2 linked regions of the Anolis sagrei genome follow. The protein of the gene in region 2 interacts with the protein of the main gene of each other region in a pairwise test. Links are inferred from orthologs where the notes say so. Each region holds a gene or a part of one and is shown on either strand. Other genes may lie near its edges. The genes, in order: TSSK4 and CREB1.

The links.
Region 1: the proteins of CREB1 (region 2) and TSSK4 interact in binary tests that used the Homo sapiens proteins (3 or more experiments, as listed by UniProt). The link is inferred for Anolis sagrei from reciprocal best matches to the Homo sapiens genes CREB1 and TSSK4.

The regions. Positions count from the first base shown.
Region 1 is NC_090026.1:7,933,047-7,944,935, reverse strand, and holds TSSK4 (testis-specific serine/threonine-protein kinase 4), read left to right. Parts: upstream 1-6,514; 5' UTR 6,515-6,517; coding exon 6,518-6,729; intron 6,730-7,628; coding exon 7,629-7,992; intron 7,993-10,145; coding exon of another isoform or gene 10,146-10,238; coding exon 10,239-10,520; 3' UTR 10,521-10,563; downstream 10,564-11,889. Other genes in the region: TM9SF1 (transmembrane 9 superfamily member 1), read right to left, coding at 7,744-7,968, 10,146-10,516. UniProt on the Homo sapiens protein: Serine/threonine kinase which is involved in male germ cell development and in mature sperm function. May be involved in the Cre/Creb signaling pathway. Phosphorylates CREB1 on 'Ser-133' in vitro and can stimulate Cre/Creb pathway in cells.
Region 2 is NC_090021.1:168,927,808-168,938,917, reverse strand, and holds the start of CREB1 (cyclic AMP-responsive element-binding protein 1), read right to left. Parts: upstream 4,618-11,110; 5' UTR 4,349-4,617; intron 1-4,348.

The sequences.
Region 1 (11,889 bases), on a different chromosome or scaffold from region 2:
TCCTTTCGCCTGGAGCTGGGCTCTCTAAAATTGGGAGGAAAATAGTATCTTTGTCTCCTCCATGATGAAATTGACTGGCAAGGCACCCATTCAACTTGTGTGTATTTTGCAGGCCCAATATAAACCGCAGGCAAAAAGAGCACTAAAATAGTAGCTGAACATCTGTAGGTGGAGGTAAACATTACTATTTACTAGAAAGGGTGGCTTCATATGTGCAAATATAAAATCTGTTTATATTAGAAACCACACTTTCCTAACACACACACATTTATTGACCTCAAGAAGAGGCAGATAAAAATATATATTATTATTATAATTACTAATATAACTATTATTATTATTATTATTATTATTATTATTGGAAGCACTCTGCACATGAGCAGAGGCACAGTTTCTCATTAGCACTGCCTTCTTGATTCATATGCCCACCTCGAGCACCATTAATATATACAATATATTAATATATAGAAATAATAACATTGTACTAAAATAATATGAATATAGCATATATAATATTAACAATGTTGTAATATATTATTATTATATTACCCTCCACTCTGCTGTGTTCTCTGTGGCTATTCTTAATCAATAACCACATTTTTGGCCTCTAGTTTGCAAAATTAATGCAATTTGACACCACTTTAACTTCCATTGGATTCAAACTACAGCAAAATAAGTTCCACCTAATCTTTAGTAAACCCTTCCTGACAGTAAGACCTATCTGATAGTGGAATACACTGTCACTTGGGAGTCCAGCAGAGCCTACATTTTGTGAGGCTTTTAAACAGAGACTGGTCATCTATTGGGAGTGGTTTAATTGTATATTCCTGCATGGCAGAATGGAGTTGGACTGGATGACCTTTAGGGATCCCTTCTAACTCTAGTGGAATATAGACTACCAAGGAGTATGGTGGAATATACATCTCCAGAGGCTTTTCAGCAGGGACTGAATAGCCATCTGTCGAGAGTGCTTGGATTGTGTATCCCGCATGACAGAAAGGGGTTGGACTGGATGGACTTTAGGGATCCCTCCTAAGTCTCGTGGAATATAGACTTCCGGGGAGTGCAGTGGAATATACATCTCTAACACTTTTTAGCAGGGACTGAATAGCCATCGGTCGAGAGTGCTTGGATTGTGTATTCCTGCATGACAGAATGGGACTGGACTGGATGACCTTTCGAGATCCCTTTTGACTTTAGTTGAATATTGACTGCCTGGGAATTTGTTGGATTTTCCTTCTCTAGAGACTGTTAAACAGAGACTGAATGGCCATCTATCAGGAGTGCTTCGATTGTGTATTGCTGCAGGACAGAATGGGTTTGGACTGGATGGCCTTTAGGGATCCCTTCTAATGCTAATGGAATATAGACTACCAGGGAGTGCAGAGAATTATACTTCTCCCGAGGCTTTTCAGCAGTGACTGGATAGCCATCTGTCAGGAGTGCTTGGATTGTGCATTCCTGCATGATAGAATGGGGTTGGACTGGATGGCCTTTCGAGCTCCTTTTCAACTTCAGTTGAATATTGACTGCCTGTGAGTTTGTTGGAGTTTCCTTCTCTAGAGGCTGTTAAACAGAGACTGAATGGCTATCTGTCGAGACTGCTTTGATCGTGTATTCCTGCATGGTAAAAGGGGGTTGGACTGGATGGCCCTTGGGGTCTCTTCCAACCCTTTAACCATACACTTCACCTTTCCTCCAAAAGAGGCTTATAATTTTGTCAAAGGGCATCACAGGAACAGAAGACCCTTGTTTGTTTGAGATCGTGTCATCGTGTCAGGGGCAACCAGACCATTGTATTACATTTCTAACAGAACAAAACAAACAAACAGATAAAAAAAACCCACAAAGTTTGCAAGCTTGGTAGTAGATTAAATGTCCTTTGACCAGTAGCTGGCCACTTGGAGTGCCTCTGATGTTGTTGCAAGAAGGTCCTCCATGGTGCATGTGGCAGGGCTCAGGTTGCATTGCAGCAGATGGTCAGTGGTTTGCTCCTCTCCGCACTCGCATGTTGTGGATTCCACTTTGTAGCCCCATTTCTTAAGGTTGGCTCTGCATCTCGTGGTGCCAGAGCGCAGTCTGTTCAGCGCCTTCCAAGTCGCCCAGTCTTCTGTGTGCCCAGGGGGGAGTCTCTCATTTGGTATCAGCCATTGGTTGAGGTTCTGGGTTTGAGCCTGCCGCTTTTGGACTCTCGCTTGCTGAGGTGTTCCAGCGAGTGTCTCTGTAGATCTTAGAAAACTATTTCTTGATTTAAGTCATTGACATGCTGGCTGATACCCAAACAAGGGTGAGCTGGAGATGTCACTGCCTTGGTCCTTTCACTATTGAAATTACACTGTTTAGCTGGTATTGCACCACCTGACATCCACCAGGAAGTAGCCGCCAATAGTTTGTTTGAGATGAGAAAATAGTATTACTTAAATCCAATGAGTAGGATTTGGAACCAAGAGAGTTTGGAGCAAGCAGAACCCATGTTGCATCAGGCAACATCCTTTGTTGGAAGACAATCCCTCAGTGCCATCCATGGAAGCCTCCCTATGGTAACTGGAACCCCATCGGCCTATTGACATGGCTGGAATGCCAAGGGCATCTTCAGAACCCAGGCAGAAAAGAAGGTCGGACCCCTTCCTAGTGGTTGGGGTCCGGTTGAGCAGATCCCATTTCTTCCTTTGGAGCTGTTAATTGGCAGGATGATGGTTTAGATTCCACCAAGTTGGGTGAGACAGGTGGATCTCCAACTAGATCCCTCCCATCACCCAAAAGACTTATCGGAGAGATCTCCTTGGACTCGGATACACAGTTGGAAAAACCTGATTACCTTCTCCTCCCCTGGTTGTCCTTCTCAGAACATCCCACCAAGGGTCCTTTCCCTATCACAAAAGTATTCTTGAGGATTTGGGGCTGAGCACCAAAACGGAACCATGGTGGAACATTCGGCCTCCACGCCGTACGTCTCGGTGATGGATCAATACGGCTACCAAATTGGCAAAGTGATTGGGCACGGCTCTTACGGCACCGTCTATGAGGCCTATTTCGCGAAGCAGAAGACCATGGTGGCCATCAAGATCATCTCCAAGAAAAAGGCCTCTGAGGATTACCTCTCCAAATTCCTCCCAAGGGAAATACAGGTGGTTTACCTTTACGTGTTGGGTGAGGTTGGATGAAGCATGGGCAAACTTTGGCCCTTTGGGTGTTTTGGACTTCAACTCCCACAATTCCTAACAGCAAGTAGACTGATATACAATAACCCTGTAAGGTAGACTCAAAGAGTAGGTTTTAGAAACTCTCCAAATGACATTGGCACTTGGTTCAACAAGTTTGAATGTAATCATATTTAATAATATGGGGACATTGCTTTTGATTATATTTTCATATTAAGTCCTGCTTTGTGGCTGGGCCTTGTTAATATTCTGGTTTAGTTTGTTACCGTGATAACTATCTAGCCAGGAAGATGAAATTAAATAATTGATTTAAATATTTATATTCCACCTTTTGTCCTGCGCATTTTACATTCATATCCTACTTTTCTACTTACGAAGAGTACAATGGGTAGTTAATACAATTCATTTACCATTTCTATATTGCCAGTACTTAAATCCACTCTGGGATTTAGTCTGAAGTTTACAGAATAAGGTCCTGGATAATAAATTGCCAAAATGGATTAAGTACCTTGGATAGCTTATTAAAACACAGATTCACACACCTGCCACTGACATGTCATTATTTTGGACTGCAAGACCCAGAATACAATACGCAATTGTTTTGGACTACAATACCCAGAATCTCCATCCAGGATTGGATGGGGATTCTGGAGCTTTTGTCATGATGAAATATGAGGTATGGTTTGAATGGAATTGTATGAAAGATGAATGAATGAGAGCTAATAATTTTGAAGACACCATTCCTGGAAAACCACTGCCTGCTTGCTGAACTGTAATCAAAAGTTGCTGAACTGCTGACATTGATAAAAACTGTAATTGTTTTGGGGAAAACAATGTGTTTACATTATCAGAGACAATTATTAAAGAAATGTTTACAAGGAAGTCTACACAAGACTGCTTATGTTTATTAACACCAATTACGAAGAGTCAACATCTGTCCAGGAACTGATGATATCAACATATTTCAGACTGGAAGAACATCTATCAATGATTTACAATTTATTTATTTATTTATTTATTTACTGCACTTGTAGACCGCCGTTCTCAGCCCTAGGGCGACTCACGGCGGTGTACAACATATAAAAAACAATTTACACTAAAGGCAATAAAGGCAATAGCACAAACAACAGTAACAACATCACTATCAATAATACAATTACACTAAATCATTTGCGACGTCTCATCATAGAATCACAATCCAATCTCGTTTTCCATATTCCGTTCCAATCATCATTGCCAATTGTTGTAGCACTTAGTCAAACGCCTTCTCAAACAACCACGTTTTTAGTCTCTTGCGGAATGTCATAAGGGAGGGCGCCTGTCTGATGTCTACAGGGAGGGTGTTCCACAGCCGGGGGGCCACCACCGAGAAGGCCCTATCCCTCGTCCCCACCAGGCGTGCCTGTGAGGCAGGCGGGATCGAGAGAAGGGCCTCCCCAGACGATCTCAAAGTCCTCGTGGGCTCATAGGCCGAGATGCGGTCAGACAGGTAATTTTGGAACGACATACCCTATTTCCCTGAAAATAAGACATCCCCTAAAAATAAGACCTAGTAGAGGTTTTGCCGAATTGCTAAAAATAAGGCCTCCCCACAAAGTAAGACCGAGTTAAGTTTTTGTTTGGAACCATGCCTGCCAAATAGAACATCAAAGCATGCATTGAATAAATCTTGCTTTGTGTCCATAAATATCGGGATCAGTAAATGTACCATAGATTGCTGTACATGGAAATAATGGCAGCAACAAGAAATTCTTGATTGATGAAACCTAGGATCATGTTGGCTTTTTTGGCTTGATAGGATTCATAGTTTGTCTGATTATGCTGATTTGTGATGACAACTACTGTACAGTATGTAATAAATGTTAATGTTTTGTTCAACAATACATATTGTTGAATACGCCTGGCAGGAACGAGAGACAGGGCCTTCTCAGTGGTGGCCCCTCGGCTGTGGAACACCCTTCCTACAGATATTAGATCGGCCCCCTCCCTATTGGCATTTCGGAGGAAAGTGAAGACCTGGTTGTTCGAGCAGACATTTGATTAGGCAGTGTAATGAATATAGGAACACGGAATAACGGATGATGAGATTGGATCTTGATTCTACTGATGAGACGCGAATGAGTTGTTATATTGATGCTTAATTGTTTATTATGCTACTGTTTTAACTGTCCCTTCACTGTTTTTATGATGTTTTGCATTGAATTTTTGCTGTTGTTAACCGCTTTGAGTCGTCTAAGGGCTGAGAAAAGCGGTATATAAATGAAGTAAGCAAATAAATAAATAAATATGAATTCTTCTTCATGGAAAAATAAGACATCTCCTGAAAATAAGACCTAGCACATCTTTGGGAGCAAAAATTAATATAAGACACTATCTTATTTTGGGGGAAACAGGGTACAACATCAGCAAGGAAATATTGCTATGTAAGAGACCTTATTACAATCCAAAAATTGTGACAGACAGCAGTGCTGTTCACCTGCCATGCTGTATGGAAAGAGATGGTGTATGCCTCCTTGTCTCAAGAGAAGAGAAAGGAGTGTGATTTTGGAGTTTTGGATTTTGTGCAGGGAGTCCGGTTCTGCTTCATGGAAAACGGGGATCTGATCCTTGCCATTGTGCTTAGGGGAAGGATGCATTTTGGCGTTTAGGAGTTTTGGAAATATGCATTGACAGATTTTCAGGAAAGCAAAGTATAGTCCAATAAATGTTCTTCTCCAAGGAGTTAGAAAGGATATGGTAATATTTGAATGCAGGGGAATGAATTAATGTGCAAGTGAAGGCTGAGTGAAAATGTAATTCCCCTCTGTTTGTTTGATAGCCAATGTAACTATAGGTTGTTTATGAATCCAATGTAGTTACATAGAATCTGTAAGTTTGTATAGCTATATAAATTCTGATACCCTTTCTCTTACTGGAATGTATTGATATTATGGCATTGAATTGTTGCCCGTGTTAGCAGCCCTGAGCGCGCGTCCCCCCCCCCCCCCCCCACTGATAGGGCAGTGCAGATTCAAATAATTCAGATTATATTGTGGATTATCTGCCTTGATATTCTGGGTTACAGGGCTGTATGGACAGGCCCTTTGAGGCAAGGAAAGTCTAAAACAAGGACTATATACAGCCCATGGGGACCACTATAGTGGCTGTTAAAGAGGGGTAGAAATGATGTAAATAAACAAATAAACAAATAAATAAATAAAATTTCAATAAAAAGAACCTATGTTTTAAAGGTATTGAAAAGTTATTCATAACACTTGTAGTCCGAAAAGCAAACATGAAATGGAAATTGGGACTGCGAAAGACAGAAAGGGACATAGCATAGGTTTAACCCTGAATCCGTTTCTCCTTTCCAGGTGATGAAGAGTCTGCGCCACAAATACGTGATCAGTTTCTACCAAGCCATCGAGACCACCTCCCGCCATTATATCATCATGGAGCTGGCACCCTGCGGGGATGTCTTGGAGTGGATCCAGAAGTCGGGCGCTTGCTCCGAGGCCCTGGCGGGGAAGTGGTTCTCCCAGCTGGCCCTGGGCATTGCCTATCTTCATGGCAAGGGCATCGTGCACCGGTCAGCAAAGGGGCAACTTGGGCTCTGGTTGGGTGGCAAAGTCATGAGTCCTGGCTGGAATGCTAGTGTTGGAAAATACCATAATGGCTGTCCTGTCCAACCTCTTGCCATTCAAGAAGATACAATGCAAGCCCTCCTGACAGTTTATTTAACATTTAGTTAAATAAGCAGAAGTGAGATGTTTGAATGTGTTGAGATTAATTTCACAATTCAGCAGCAGATCAGTTGCACAACTTCAGCGCTTTCCAGTAGCTTCTTCCTGCACAGTATTTTCAGTCAACTGCTCCCACAGCCTGCAGTCACTCTGGAACCTTTTACAGACACTTGAGCACATGCCCGGCCATTGTCAGTTTTACCGTTGTCTTTCCCCCAGTCTAGATGATATTACAAACTTACCACAGCATACAGTTATATCTTGTCTTAGCAGACAGGTTCTTTTAATCAATTACATATAGCCTTCGACGACAACATCACAGCACAAGGAGAGGAATACACACTGTACATGACTTCCTTATATACAATTCTATACAATTTCACATAGCAATCTCTGATTGGTTCCCAACTCATTAACTTAACTCAGACCCAGGATTACATCATTCACAATCACCTGGACTAGGCCAGAACACATTCCCCAAATGATTCCCTATATACAGTTAATGCATGACTCAGCATTTCCAATAGCCCATTAGCAGTGCATGACTCAGCTATATTACATTACAATACATTGTAAAACCTGACAGGATGGTGTCTTGCTGCCTGGAAGAAAAGGGTCAGTTTGGATGGCCCTTGAGATGTCTTCCAACCCTATATTACACTATGATTCTTTGAGATCTCCAGCCAGATCAGTCCTGTTTCCAAGTTCTGTCGTTGCAGTGAATCTCACTCTTTGATTCTCGCAGGGACCTCAAGCTGGAGAACCTCCTCCTGGATAAGCGGGAGAACATAAAGATCTCAGACTTTGGCTTCTCCAAGATTGTGACCCCGCAGACGCAGCCGCCCCCGACTCCTTCCTACCGCATGATGAGCTGCTTCTCCCACCTCAGCCAGACCTACTGCGGCAGCTTCGCCTACGCCTGCCCGGAGATCCTCCTGGGGCTGCCCTACAACCCCTTCCTCTCCGACATCTGGAGCATGGGGGTCATCCTCTACACCTTGGTGGTGGCCCACCTGCCCTTCGATGACACCAACCTCAAGAAGTTGCTCCGCGAGACCCAGAAGGAGGTCAACTTCCCAAGCCACCTCCAGATCAACGAGGAGATCAAGGTGAGGATGGCCCACCTGTAGACCTTACAACAGGCATGGGCAAACTTTGCCCCTCTAGGTGTTTCGGACTTCAACTCCCACAAATTGTGGGAGTTGGTCCAAAACACCTGGAGGTCCCAAGTTTGCTCAGGCCTGCTCTGAGTATATTGTCTGAAGAGTTTGGGGAACTTTGGATCCAAACATGCAGCTTTTTCTACCTGATATCCTGACTGAGGGATTTAACATCTACATGAAACCGCTGGGAGATATTCCTAATTGCCATACAATATTTAATGCATTTTTAGAAATACTAGTTAGACTCACAGTAATAAAAAAATCATCTTCAGGCTATGTGTATATATGAAACATGAATTAATTTCACGTTTAGACCTGAATCCTATCTTCAAGATTTCTTTTTTCTCTGTGTATTTATCTATGCAAATCCAGGTATTGCAAAATATTTCTGGTTTCATGCATTTCAGATAACAGATACTCAACCTGGATTAAGACTGTAACAACATCTAAAACAAGTCTGATCTTGGAGTGTTGAGAATGGGAGTGTCAAGTTTAGTAATGTTTAAGGCAGGCATGGGTACATTTTCTAACTTGGGGACCACATGATAACATTCCCTACTAGAATGACTGGCTTCCTGGTGATGGAAGGAAGGAAGGGGAGGAGGGAGGAAAGAGAGAAGGAAGGAAGGAGGAAAGGGAGGAAGGGAATGATGGAAGGAAAGAGAGAAGGAAGAAAGGAGGAAAGGGAAGAAGAAAGGAAGGAAGGAAAGACAAAAAGGAAGGAAGCAAGGATGAAAGGGTGGAAGGGAAGGATGGATGGATGGAAGGAAGGGAAGGATGGAAGGAAAGAGAGAAGGAAGGAAAGAGGAAAGGGAGAGGGAAGAAGGGAGGAAAGAGGGAAGAAAGGAAAGGCAAAAGAGAAAGAAGGATGAAAGGGAGGAAGATAAGAATGGAAGGAAAGGAATGAGGAGGAAAAGAGAGAAGGAAGGAAGGACAAAAGGGAGGAAGGGAAGGGTGGAAGGAGAAAGAGGGAGAGAAGGAAGGAGGGAGAAAAGAGGGAAAGAAGGAAAGACAAAAGTGAAGGTAGGAAGGATGAAAAGGTGGAAGGGAAGGATGGAAGGAAGGAAAGGAAGGAGGAAGGAAAGAACGCAGGGAGGGAGGAAGATAGATAAGGATGGTAGGAAGGGAAGGATAAAGGAAAGAGAGAAGGAAAGGCAAAATGGAAGGAAGAAAGGAGAAAGAGGGAGAGAGGAAGGAAGGAAGGAAGGAAGGCAGGAAGGAAGGCAGGAAGGAAGGAAGGAAGGAAGGAAGGAAGGAAGGAAGGAAGGAAGGGGAAGGGAGGGAGGGAGGGAGGAAAGGAGAACAAAGGGGTGGAAGGGAAGGATGGAAGGAGAAAGAGGGAGGGAAGGGAGGCAAGGAGGAAGGAAAAAGAGAAGAAAGGAAAGACAAAAGATAGGGAAGGAGAGAAGGACGAAAGGGTGGAAGGGAAGAAGTAAGGGAAGAAGGACGAAGGAGTAGAAGGGAATGGAGGGAGAAAGAGGGAAGGGGGGAAGCGAGATGTAAAGACAAAAGGGAAGGAAGGAGAAAGGGAGAGAGAGAAGAAAGGAAGAATGAAAGAGTGGAAGGGAAGGAAGGAGGGAGGTAGGAAGAGGAAGGGGAGAGAAGGAAGGAAGGAAGGAAGGAAGGAAGGAAGGAAGGAAGGAAGGAAGGAAGGAAGGAAGGAAGGAAGGAGAGGAAGGAAGGAAAAATAGGATTGTGTGAGAGAGGGAGGCCTGAGAAAAGACCCCAATGGCCCGCTTCCGGCCCCTGGACCTGGGTTTTCCCATATATGGTTCAAGGCCTCATAAATTATCTTTTTTTAGGATTCATCTGCAATGCAGAATGAATGTAGTTTTAAACCACGTTCCCTGCCAATGCGATTGAATGCTTGGAGTTGTAGTGTGGCAAAGGACCAGCACACTTCAACAAAGAAGACCTTGCAAAAGTACAGCTCCCAGGGATTCCATCGCATTGAGTCATGGTGAACCTTCTCTGGATACCTTCCAGCTTGTCCATCTACTTCTCGAATTGCTTTGCCCAGGACTGGTCAGATTATTATTCCAGGGGAAGGTTTGACCAAAACAGAACGGAATAGGGTTATGACCTTTCTTTTGACCAACACTCCTAGTGATGCATCCTGGAATTGTGTTGGCTTTCCTGAGGTGCTGCATCCTTTTGATGGTGTCTGTCTTGTCTTTCCGGCAATCTCGTAGGAGCTGGTCCATCGCATCCTCCGCCCGGCTTCGAAGCGCCTCAACATCTTGGAAGTCCTCAAGGTGCAGTGGGTCATCAAATTCCTTGCTGAGAAGCCCACCACGGAGCTCAAGGCCCTGGAAGCCATCTGCGGACCCCGGGCCACTGACTCCTTGAAGAACGCCAACCTCAGCACCAAATCCCGCTCCCTGACTTTCGCGCCGGACAAAAAAAAGGCCGCCAGCCGTACGCGCAGCACTGGGCAGATCAAGGGCTCCAAAAACACAGAGAAAAGCAGCTAAGGAGGGGTGCATTAAAAACAAAAGACTCTTTAAGGCAAAGTTGTTGGCGGTCCATGTTTTTCTGGGCTTAGTGCTTACCTTCAACGGCCAGGGAGTGTGCAAACCAGAAACAAATACAGCCAAACACTGGGGAAACTTGATAAATGTAACATAGAGCAGGGGCCCTTTATCAGGAATGAGCAGGAACAAGGTTTGGGATATCACCTTTTCATGGGATCATAGTTGGAAAATACTCCCAAGTCCAACCCCATATTGCCATGCAGGATCACACAATTGAAGCACTCCCGACAGGTGGCCTTCCAGCCTCTGCTTCAAAACATCTAGAGAAGACTTGATTTTTGTGGATGGATGTCATCGACATTGTACAATCGGTAAGCTGGCTGCACCCTTTGTCAGAGATACTAAAGACCTTGTAAAACGACAGCTCCCATGATTCTATAGCATTGACACCACTTTAAGTGCTGTGACTGAATGATATGGACAGTTTTACATGTTCAGACTAAAACCCAGAATGGATTCACCACTCTGATATACAAAAATGTGACTGTCTGCTAAACTAGTTTATTTATACTAGAACAGTGGTTCTCAACCTGGAATCCCCAGATGTTAGTGGCCTACAACTCCCAGAAATCCCAGCCAGTTTACCAGCTGTTAGGATTTCTGGGAGTTGAAGGCCAAAAACATCTGGGGACCCCAGGCTGAGAACCACTGTACTAGAATCTGACCTCACTATAACTTCCACGGCACAATGCTATGGATCCTTGGGAGTTGTAGTTTGGCAATGCATTACAGCAGTGGTTCCCAGGAGCCCCCCCATGGCCCGATGGGTTAAACCCTTGTGCCGGCAGAGCTGAAGATCGACAGGTCAGAGGTTCAAATCCAGGAAGAGCGTGGATGAGCTCCCTCTGTCAGCTCCTGCTCCCCATGCAGGGACATGAGAGAAGCCTCCCACAAGGATGGTAAAACATCAAAACATCTGGACACCCCCTGGGCGACGTCCTTGCAGATGGACAATTCTCTCACACCAGAAGCAACTTGCAGTTTCTCAAGTCGCTCCTCACACATACACACACACACAAAAGTGGTTCCCAACCTTTTTTTGACCAGGGACCTCTCTCCAACATGAGTACCAAAAGGGTTATGAATCAGTTTTTGCTCAACTTTCGATTCGGATTGGGGTGCTGATTCAGAAAATTGCATTGGATAGACCACATCAGCTCTAGTTTCTGATACAGAACAAATGCCATGGTCAATGACAGGGAAAAAGTGGCAGGTGGTGTGAAAGGAGCGGAAAGAAAATAAATAAAATCTAATAAATAAATAATGAGGAAGGAGGATAGCAATCAGATTTTCGTCCTCACGGCCCACA
Region 2 (11,110 bases):
GAGAAGTTTCCTTTGGAAGGAAAATCATATAATTATTATAAATGTGAAATAAGCAAAAATAAAAATGTATTTTAAAAAATATGTCAGTGACAATAACATTGACGCTTGAAGGTTTTTTTGTTAATTTTTTAAATCACACTTTATATATTTTCTAACAGAGGATTATACCTAGGCTGTGTTTTTTTAGCACTTGATTGGCATTTGCAGAATTCCAATAATAGCTTATTTGTGAAAGGTGGTCCATATTGCCAAATCCCCAATTGACTGCAGCTTTCTTCATTATATTTATTAAGTTCTAAAAATTTCTCAATACTTAGGGACAGATTTTCAAAGGGGGCTGTAGATTATGTTTTTAAAAAGTCTACAAATATAGTGTCCAATTTATACATTATAACACTTTCTATAAAAGCATGAGCACTATTACATTCAGGCCACAGAATCCAGCATGTGTAGTAGGGAGGGCTCTAGTCCATGAAGCCCTCGTTCCTGAAAAGTATGCAATATTTGAAGAGCCACAAAGTTATGTTAGAATTTAGTAACAAACCCTGTCTAGAACAGTATGAAATTATTGCATTTATAAATACAGGTATAAATCCAATTGCCACCCCCAACTAGACCAACCAAATCAATGGCATTTATGTTCCACTACCTAGTTCACGATACTTTTCCTAGTTGGGTGGATTTAGGCCACAGTCTGGTGAAACAAGGATATGTGAGAACACTAAAATTTCTCTGTGAAATGGAAGCAATACAGGAACAACAACAATAAATATCATAAAAACCCTATCTGTGACCCTTCAAATATGACTGCCTATACATTAAAGCAGGGCCCCCAAAACTAAGGCCCGAGGGCTGTATACGGCCTTCCAAGGTCATTTACCCGGCCCTCGCTCAGGGTTAACCTAAGTCTGAAATGACTTGAAAGCACACAACCACAACAATTCTATCTCATCAGCCAAAAGCAGGCCCACACTTCCCATTTAAATACTAATAAGTTTATATCTGTTAAAATTGTTCTTCATTTTAATTATTGTAATGTTTTAAAGTGTTATTTGCACTACAAATAGGATATGTGCAGTGTGCATAGGAATTCGTTCATGTTTTTTTCAAATTATAATCCGGCCCTCCAACAGTTTGAGGGACTGTAACCTGGCCCTCTGTTTACAAAGTTTGAGGACCCCTGCATTAAAGCATATTAGGGAAAACAATCAAGATCAATGTTTGGCTGAAAACTAGGACTTCAGGAGATGCAAACTTTAAAGGAGTCTTAGATTGAGAGTACTAACTATATGGTGAAATTCACTTTTCGATGATGGCCAAATAGGTTGTCTAAAACAGTAAGTAAATGAACTGTGTTGTAAGCATGGTAAAACCTCCCTTATGTTGTTATGAAGTGTGTATTAATCAGCACCAAGTAACTTACTTGAAACTTAATATACTGGGATACTGTTGCTAAAATTAGCCCTTTACTTTGTATCCTATTTTGCAACATAAAAATTATTAAAACATCCAATGTAGCTAAAAATCCAGGTTTTTGTTTTACAATGACTGAAATCCCAACCCTAGCTAAAAAACAGAGTGAGGTTAAGACAGTAGTTCTCAACCTGTAGGTCCCCAGGTGTTTTGGCCTACAACTCCCAGAAATCCCAGCCACTTTACCAGCTGTAAGGATTTCTGGGAGTTGAAGGCCAAAACATCTGGGAACCCACAGGTTGAGAACCACTGGGTTAAGAGGAAGTGGAAAACTCCTTGAGTGGTAGAGTAGCTCCTCCAGCCCAAAGAGGCCTGCGAGCATAAAACGTCCTTGGTAGATTCTAAAACAGGCATGGGCAGACTTTGGCCCTCCAAGAGTCTTGGACTTCAACTCCCACAATACCTGGCTGTTAGGAATTGTGCAAGTTGAAGTCCAAAACACATGGAGGACCAAAGTATGGCCATGCCTGTTCTAAAACATGACTTTTGGGTGAGGGAAAAGACATTCTCTCACAGGCTTGGACCTACACAAGATTTGAACAGATACTTCATCACACTAAAGCAGGGATCCTCAACTAAGGCCCGGGGGCCAGATGAGGCCCTCGCTTAGGGTCAACTTAAGTCTGAAACGACTTGAAAGAACAAAACAATAACAACAATCCTAGCTCATCAGCCAAAAATAGGCCCACACTTCCCATTGAAATACTAATAAGTTTACATTTGCTAAATTGTTCTTCATTTTAATTATTGTATTGTTTTTTAAGTGGATTTTGCACTACAAATAAGATATGTGCAGTGTGCATAGGAATTCATTCATGTTTTTTTTTTCAAATTATAATCCGGCCCTCCAACTGTTTGAGGGACTGTGACCTGGCCCTTTGTTTAAAAAGTTTGAGGACCCCTGCACTAGAGAATAAATCCATTTAAAATCCAGTTTCTGCCTCCTGCAGACCTCTGGGGTTTAGTGAGGCTGTTAAATACTAAATTTCATCCTAATAACTTCAGAAATAGGGAAATGTACATGAAAATATTTCCTATAAAATGGAAATAACATATTTTATTTGCCTTGGTTAGAGAGGGAAGAAACAGGGCATGGGAAGTAGGAAAGTTAATTCAAAACGACTCCACTCATAACTGAAGCTAAACTTATATATGTGTTAACTTTTCTTGCCTGCACTCTTCCTAGCCCCCCTAATTTAGTACATTGTTTTAAGTTATCTCCCTTACAGGCCCGTAGCCAGGATTTCGATTTTGGGGGGGGGGGGGGGGGGGGCTGAGTCTGAGTGAAAGAGGGTCTACCCTAGCAAAGCTTTTGTATCGTTACCCCAATACCCCCATGCATATGGGATATATTGAGTATGGTGATCAGATCATGATATGAATAAACATAACAGTTTAAATAATGAACCAGTAAGGCCTTCTCGCGAACCACCATGAGAATTTGGGGGGGGGGGGGGGGCTGAAGCCCCTAAAGTCCCCCCCCCCCCACTACATGTCTGCTCCCTTATATTACTTTACTGAGTGCCATGTAAACTGAACTGAGGTGAATAGATTCTACAAATAAAACAAAAGTGTCAGTAATACTAGCAGTGCCTCATTTAATACAACTTTTCGCCTAAGCACAACCCCTCAAAGTACAGATCAAAGGGGGGAGGGATAAAAACCAGAGCAGTGAGGATTAAGTTTGAAACAAATACAACCATTTCCAGCACCAGAGCTTTCATCATAACCACACAGAACTGTGAGGAAAACAAGATGTTCAAGAATAGTGTAGATCCAAAATTATTTTTATTTCAAAAGGAACTTTCGGAGGTTTTTCAAATTGGAGCCATGTTTTTTTAAAACTGTTTTGCTGGTACAGTGGACGGGGACTCCTGCCAAATGGATGCTTTGACTATGAAAAGAGGAACCTCTGGACCCGTGGGACAGAATCGAGGGTCTGCTCCAAGCACAGCAGAAGCGAGTATTGGGAGTTTTGTTTCTCATGTCAGGAGCAACTTGAGAAACTGCAAGTCGCTTCTGGTGTGAGAGAATGTGCTGTCTGCAAGGCCGCCTGGACGTTTTGCCACCCTTGTGAGAGGCTTCTCTGATGACCCCACATAGTGATGATCACCCCCTTTCCCTTTCCTCCTAGGACTCCGTGTGTAAGGCTGCCAGGGAAGTCCCTGCTCAGCATTGGGCGGGAAAAGAGAAGAGAGGGCTGGGGTGGGGCATCTAACTTCTGGCTTGGAGAAGAGTGAGGCATGTGTGTGTGTTGGATCCACTAGATCCATATTACTGCCCTAAAGAAGGGGGGGGCACCTTATGGAGAAAAAGGATCGGCGGATTCCCCCCCCCCCCCTTCTTAAGAGGTTGCTTATACCTCTGAAGCGTGTGTTTATGACCAATTTATGTTACAAACTGCGTGATGAGAGAGGGACAGAGGGAAGACCCTCGCGGGAAGGCCCTCTCCCTCTCCCAAGGGCGCCGTGGCCTAGTTTCTTCCCCCCGCTTGGCCGCCGCCATCCTCCTCCTCGGTCCGCCCGCCCGCCAGGCTTGGCTCGCCTCGTCTCTGCCTGGCCCGGCCGCTTCCATCCGCCATTACTCTTTGTTCCTCCTCCAGCAGCAGCGCCGGGCCAGGGCAGGAGGAAGGAGAGGCTCCATTTTAAAAATTAAAACCGCCACAGAACTGAGGGGAAGGGAGGGGAAGAGCGCGTTAGGCCGAAGCTTGGCTCTCTCTCTCTTTGCCTCCTTCCTTCCCTCAACGGCCGCCGCCCCTCCCTGTTTTCCTCCTCCTTCCTCTCTCTCTCTCTGGTCGGCCTTTGTCTCCTCGGCCTGCCTTTCTTTCTTTCCTTCCTTCCTGCGTGCTCGCTGGGCTTTCTCCTTCTCCTCTTACCGGCCAGAGGCTGCTCCGTCACTGCTTTCGTTCGCGCCGAGGCTCTCGCCGCAGTTTTATTCTCTCCCCCACGTAACACACCGCGTCAAACTACACCTCCGCCGCGTCACTCACAGGACACACACACCACGCGCCCGCTCGCTCGCTCGCTCGCTCCGGCTCTCCCAGCGCCGGCGACAGCAAGGCCAGGCAGCCAAGGCAAGGCAAGGCAGGCAGGCAGGCAAGCAGAGCGGCCGACGGAGGGGAAGGCAAGGGAGGGGGGGAGAAGAGGAGGAGGAGGCCAGGGAGGGAGGGAGGGAGGGAGGGAGCAAGCGCCGCCGCCGCCGAGCATGCCTTCGCTCTCCTCCCCCTCCCTTCCCTTCTGCCTCGCGCGCTCCCCCCTCCCTACTCTACTGCCTAGCGCACTCTCCCCCCTCCCTCTTGCCTCGCGCTCCTTCCCCCCCTTCTCTTCTGCCTCGCGCGCTCCCCCTCCCTCGCGCTCTTCTCTCCCCCCTCCCTACTCTTCTGCCTCGCGTGCTCTCCCCCCTCCCTCTTGCCTCGCGCTCCATTTCCCCCCTCCCTTCTCTTCTGTCTCGCGAACCTTCCCCCTCCCTTCTGCCTCGCGCTCGCTGTCTCCCCTCCCTTGTCTTCTACCCTGCGCTCTCTCTCCCCATTACTCCATTCCTGTCCCGCCATTCCCCCCCCCCCCTTCTCTTCTGCCTCGCGCGCGCTTTCCCCCCTTCTCTTCTGCCTCGCGCTCTCTCCCAGGCCTGGATCCAGAGGAGGGGGAGGGGGTTTAAGGCAGGGGTCCTCAAACTTTTTAAACAGAGGGCCAGGTTAGGTAAAGGTAAAGGTAAAGGTAGTCCCCTGACAATAAGTCCAGTCATGTCTGACTCTGGGATGTGGTGCTCATCTCCATTTCTAAGCTGAAGAGCCAGCGTTGTCCGTAGACACCTCCAAGGTCATGTGGCCGGCATGACCGCATGGACCGCCGTTACCTTCCCGCCGGAGCGGTACCTATTGATCTACTCACATTTGCATGTTTTCGAACTGCTAGGTTGGCAGAAGCTAGGGCTGACAGCGGAATTGAACCTGTGACCTTTCAATCAACAAGCTCAGCAGCTCAGTGCTTTAACCCACTGGGCCAGGTTACATTCCCTCAAACTGTTGGAGGGCCAGATTATAATTTGAAAAAAAAAATGAACCAATTCCTATAGACACTGCATATATCTTATTTGTAGTGCAAAAAACCTCCAGCAAAGGATCACCGCCTTGTCGGGGCGCTGGAGCTTGAGCACCTCAATGATGTCATGAGCGAAACCGTGAAGGGACACCCAAGACGGGACGGTTGTGGCAGAGAGGTCAGACCAAGCGTGATCCCTGGGGAAGGCAATGGCAAACCACTCCAGTATCCTTGCCAAGAAAACTAAATGGACCAGTACAACCAGAGATATGTCGGTATGCCATTGGAAGATGGGACTCCCAGGTCGGAAGATGGCCAAAATGCTACTGGGGAGGAGCAGAGGATAAGTTCAACTAGCCCCAGATGTGATGACGCAGCTAGCTCAAAGCCGAAAGGAAGGCTAGCGGCCGACGGTACTGGAGGTGAACGACGAATCCGATGCTCTAAAGATCAACACACCATAGGAACCTGGAATGTAAGATCTATGAGCCAGGGCAAATTGGATGTTGTTATAGTTTTGACGGTGTGGTGAATGAATTAGAACCAGACATCCTGAGGAGTGAGGTTGAATGGGCCTTAAGAAGCATTGCTAACAACAAGGCAGCAGGAGACGACGGGATCCCAGCTGAACTGTTTAAAATCTTAAAAGATGATGCTGTCAAGGTGATGCATGCCATTTGCCAGCAAATATGGAAAACACAAGAATGGCCATCAGACTGGAAAAAATCAACTTATATCCCCATACCAAAAAAGGGAAATGCGAAAGACTGCTCAAACTTCCGTACAGTGGCCCTTATTTCTCATGCCAGTAAGGTAATGCTCAAGATTCTGCAAGGAAGACTCCAGCAATACATGGAGCGAGAGTTGCCAGATGTTCAAGCTGGGTTTAGAAAAGGCAGAGGAACGAGAGACCAGATTGCCAATATCCGCTGGATAATGGAGAAAGGCAGGGAGTTTCAGAAAAACATCTACTTCTGCTTCATTGACTATTCTAAAGCCTTTGACTGTGTGGATCATAATAAACTGTGGCAAGTTCTTAGTGGGATGGGCATCCCAAGCCACCTTGTCTCTCTCCTGAGGAATCTGTACAAGGACCAAGTAGCAACAGTAAGAACTGACCACGGAACAACAGACTGGTTCAAGATTGGGAAAGGCGTACGGCAAGGCTGCATCCTCTCACCCAACCTTTTTAACTTGTATGCAGAACACATCATGCGATGTGCGGGGCTGGATGAATGCAAAGCTGGGGTGAAAATTGCTAGAAGAAACATTAACAACCTCAGATATGCAGATGACACCACTCTGATGGCCGAAAGCGAGGAGGAGCTGAGGAGCCTCCTAATCAAGGTGAAAGAAGAAAGCGCAAAAGCCGGGTTGCAGCTAAACGTCAAAAAAACCAAGATTATGGCAACAAGAATGATTGACAACTGGAAAATAGAGGGAGAAACCGTGGAGGCCGTGACAGACTTTGTATTTCTAGGTGCAAAGATTACTGCAGATGCAGACTGTGGCCAGGAAATCAGAAGACGCTTACTTCTTGGGAGGAGAGCAATGTCCAGTCTCGATAAAATAGTAAAGAGTAGAGACATCAGACTGGCAACAAAGATCCGCCTAGTCAAAGCCATGGTATTCCCTGTAGTAACCTATGGATGTGAGAGCTGGACCTTAGGGAAGGCTGAGCGAAGGAAGATCGATGCTTTTGAGCTGTGGTGCTGGAGGAAAGTGCTGAGAGTGCCTTGGACTGCGAGAAGATCCAACCAGTCCATCCTCCAGGAAATAAAGCCCGACTGCTCACTGGAGGGAAAGATACTAGAGACAAAGTTGAAGTACTTTGGCCACATCATGAGGAGACAGGAAAGCCTAGAGAAGACAATTATGCTGGGGAAAGTGGAAGGCAAAAGGAAGAGGGGCCGACCAAGGGCAAGATGGATGGATGGCATCCTTGGAGTGACCGGACTGACCTTGAGGGAGCTGGGGGTGGTAACGGCCGACAGGGAGCTCTGGCGTGGGCTGGTCCATGAGGTCACGAAGAGTCGGAGACGACTGAACGAATAACAACAACAAGTGCAAAAAACATTTAAAACAATACAATAATTAAAATGAACTATTTTAACAAATATAAACTTAATGATTGACAACTGGAAAATAGAGGGAGAAAACGTGGAGGCCGTGACAGACTTTGTATTTCTAGGTGCAAAGATTACTGCAGATGCAGACTGTGGCCAGGAAATCAGAAGACGCTTACTTCTTGGGAGGAGAGCAATGTCCAGTCTCGATAAAATAGTAAAGAGTAGAGACATCACACTGGCAACAAAGATCCGCCTAGTCAAAGCCATGGTATTCCCTGTAGTAACCTACGGATGTGAGAGCTGGACGTTAGGGAAGGCTGAGCGAAGGCTGAGCCAAAGTACTTCATCTTGGCCTCTAGTCTCCTTCCCTCCAGTGAGCAGTCGGGCTTTATTTCCTGGAGGATGGACTGGTTGGATCTTCTCGCAGTCCAAGGCACTCTCAGCACTTTCCTCCAACACCACAGCTCAAAAGCATCGATCTTCCTTCGCTCAGCCTTCCCTAAGGTCCAGCTCTCACATCCATAGGTTACTATATACATAGATAGATAGGATTCACACACAGAGAGAGAAATATAGTATCATAGATTTGAAAGGAATCCTTAAAGAAGGACAAAGATATGTTGCATGTTCCAGGGTGGGCAAACCAGACACTCTCCACATCAACACTGGCAAAGAAACAGCAAGAAATACTGTTTACCCACAAGCCTAAAGAAATGACATATATTAGAAACCAACACTTTCTCATTCCTTTTATTTTCCAGATCACTCTCGCACTTAAGACCTGGCTTTTTACTAGAGCATTCGATCTCTGTTGATTTTTAATGTTTGTATGTATGTATTTATCTTTTGTAATTTAGCTGTAAATCGTCTGGAGCATTCTCGGATGGAGCGTGATTAATAAATTATTAAATGATGATGATGATGACCATCAGACTGGGCTACAGCAACTCATGGCAGGGGACAGCTAGTAATAATAATAATAATAATACTTTATTTATACCCTGCCACCATCTCCCCAAGGGACTCAGAGCGGGTTACATGAGGCCAAGCCCAACAGTACATCAATAAACAAAAACAACAAATACAATACAATTAATATAAATCACACATAAACAATAACTAATAAACAGGATTTACAAGGATTTAAAAACGTATGGCCGGGCCAAATGTAACTGTTTTAAAATTAAAGGGTTCAAGCCCCCCCCAATCCCGAAATGTTTCAGGTTTTTTTTTTTAAGCTGGTTTACTTTCGAATTAGTTAACCACCTAAAAATCAGGAGGAAACCAGATTTTTTAAAAATCTGAAACATTTTGGGGTTGGGGGGGGAAATTGAACCCTTAACCCCCCCCCCCCCCCCCGCGCGCGCTGTAGGACTGCTCCCTCCCCTCTTGTCTCGCGCACTCTCTCCCCCTCCCTTCTCTTCTGTCTCGCGCGCTCTCGCCACCCCCCCTCCTCTTGGCTCGTGCCCCATCCCTCCCTCCTTTCAAAGAGCGGGAAAGCCCGAACGGCCTCCGCGGAAATGCCCGAAGGCTGACAGCGCAAGGAACGAAGGAAGGAAAGAAAGAGACAAAATGGCGGCCGGCGCGCGAAGGTGTTTGGAGCGGCCTCCGAGGAATGGAGGAATCCACCATCACCGTTGGGGGCTGGCGGCCTAGATTGCACGATGAGGAGTTTTAGGATCATCCCATACATATCCCCGAGATCAAGTTATCAATGTGGCACCCTTCTCTCCCTCCCTACACGGGGTAAAAGGAAACGGAGACAAGAATGGAGGGAGAAGAAAAGGGGGCTCGGAAATAGCTTTGAGGAAGGCCCCATCCGCAGTGCCATCTAAAATCCAGGTTATCTGTCTGGTAGATAATGATAATCCAGTTCATAACGTGGATTATCTGCTTTGATAATTTATTTTATTTATTTATTTCACATACTAGCTGTACCCGGCCACGCGTTGCTGTGGCCCTCAGAAAACAGGATTTGCAGACATGAAACAATCTGGGCTAGGGATAGGGGTCCTCAAACTAAGGCCCGGGGACCAAATACGGTCTTCCAAGGTCATTTACCTGGCCCTCACTCAGAGTCAACCTAAGGTTGAAATGAATTGAAAGCACACAACAATCCTATCTCATCAGCCAAAAGCAGGTCCCCTCTTCCCATTTAAATACTAATAATTTTATATTTGTTAAAATTGTTCTCAGTTTTAATTATTGTACTGTTTTAAAGTATTTTTGCACAACAATAAGATATATGCAGTGTGCATAGGAATTCATGTGTTTTTCAAATTATAATCCGGCTCTCCAACACTTTGAGGGACTGTGACCTGGCCCCCTGTTTAAAAAGTTTGAGGACCCCTGGCTAGGGAACTCTTTGCAGCAAAGGTTTCCTGCTGACTAGTAGAAGCCAGGCTTTTAAGGTGCAAGGTTATTCAAAGGTAATCCAGGTATGCAGGTGCAGCATTCACACTAGGCTCAAGTAGAAATAATTTCTTTTTCCCACCCTAAACCTTTCACGTATCGATAAATGAAAGCCTCTCACAGAATGGTAAAACATCAGCGCGACGCATGGGGAACATCCTTGGAGGTGGTGTATTGCAGGGGTTCTCAAACTAAGGCCCAGGGGCCGGATACGGCCCTCTAAGGTCATTTACCCAACCCTCGCACAGGTCAACCTAAGTCTGAAACAACTTATTTATTTATTTATTTACTTTACTTTACTTGTATACCGCAGTTTCTCAGGCCAATAGGCGACTCAACGCGGTTTACAACAAGGATAAAAAACAATCAACGATATACAATTTAAAACTATAAAAGCATAATATACAATATTGACACAACAATAGACAACACAATGCATCTCATAACAAGTCGTGATCCAATCCGTCGTCCAAATTTCCATTCCTGTAATCATCACATTCATTGCACTGTTTAACCGAATGCCCGTTCAAACATCCAAGTTTTTAAACTTAAACTAAACGTAAAAGTGCACAACAACAATCCTATCTCATCAGCCAAAAACAGGCCCACACTTCTCACTGAAATACTAATACGTTTATATTTGTTAAAACTGTTCTTCATTTTAATTATTGCATTGTTTTTAAGTGTTTTTGCACTACAAATAAGATATGTGCAGTATGCATAGGAATTCATTCATGTTTTTTTCAAATTATAATCTGGCTCTCCAACACTTTGAGGGACTGTGACCTGACCCCTGTTTAAAAAGTTTGAGGACCCCTGGTGTATTGTCTCACTCCAGAAGTTCTAAACTTTTTTAATGCCACGACCCCTTAATACAGTTCATGTTGTAATGTCCCCCAACTATCATACTATTTTTGTTGCTACTTCATAACAATAATTTTGCTACAGTTCTGAATAGTAATGTAAATATCTGATATGCAAGATGTATTTCTGTTGTTATAAATTGAACATAATAAAAGCATACTGATTAATCACAAAAACAACATGTTTGGGGGAGTATGGACAACAGATGATGGGATTTGGAGTACCTTCAACTGATTCAGCTCAGACTTCCACAGA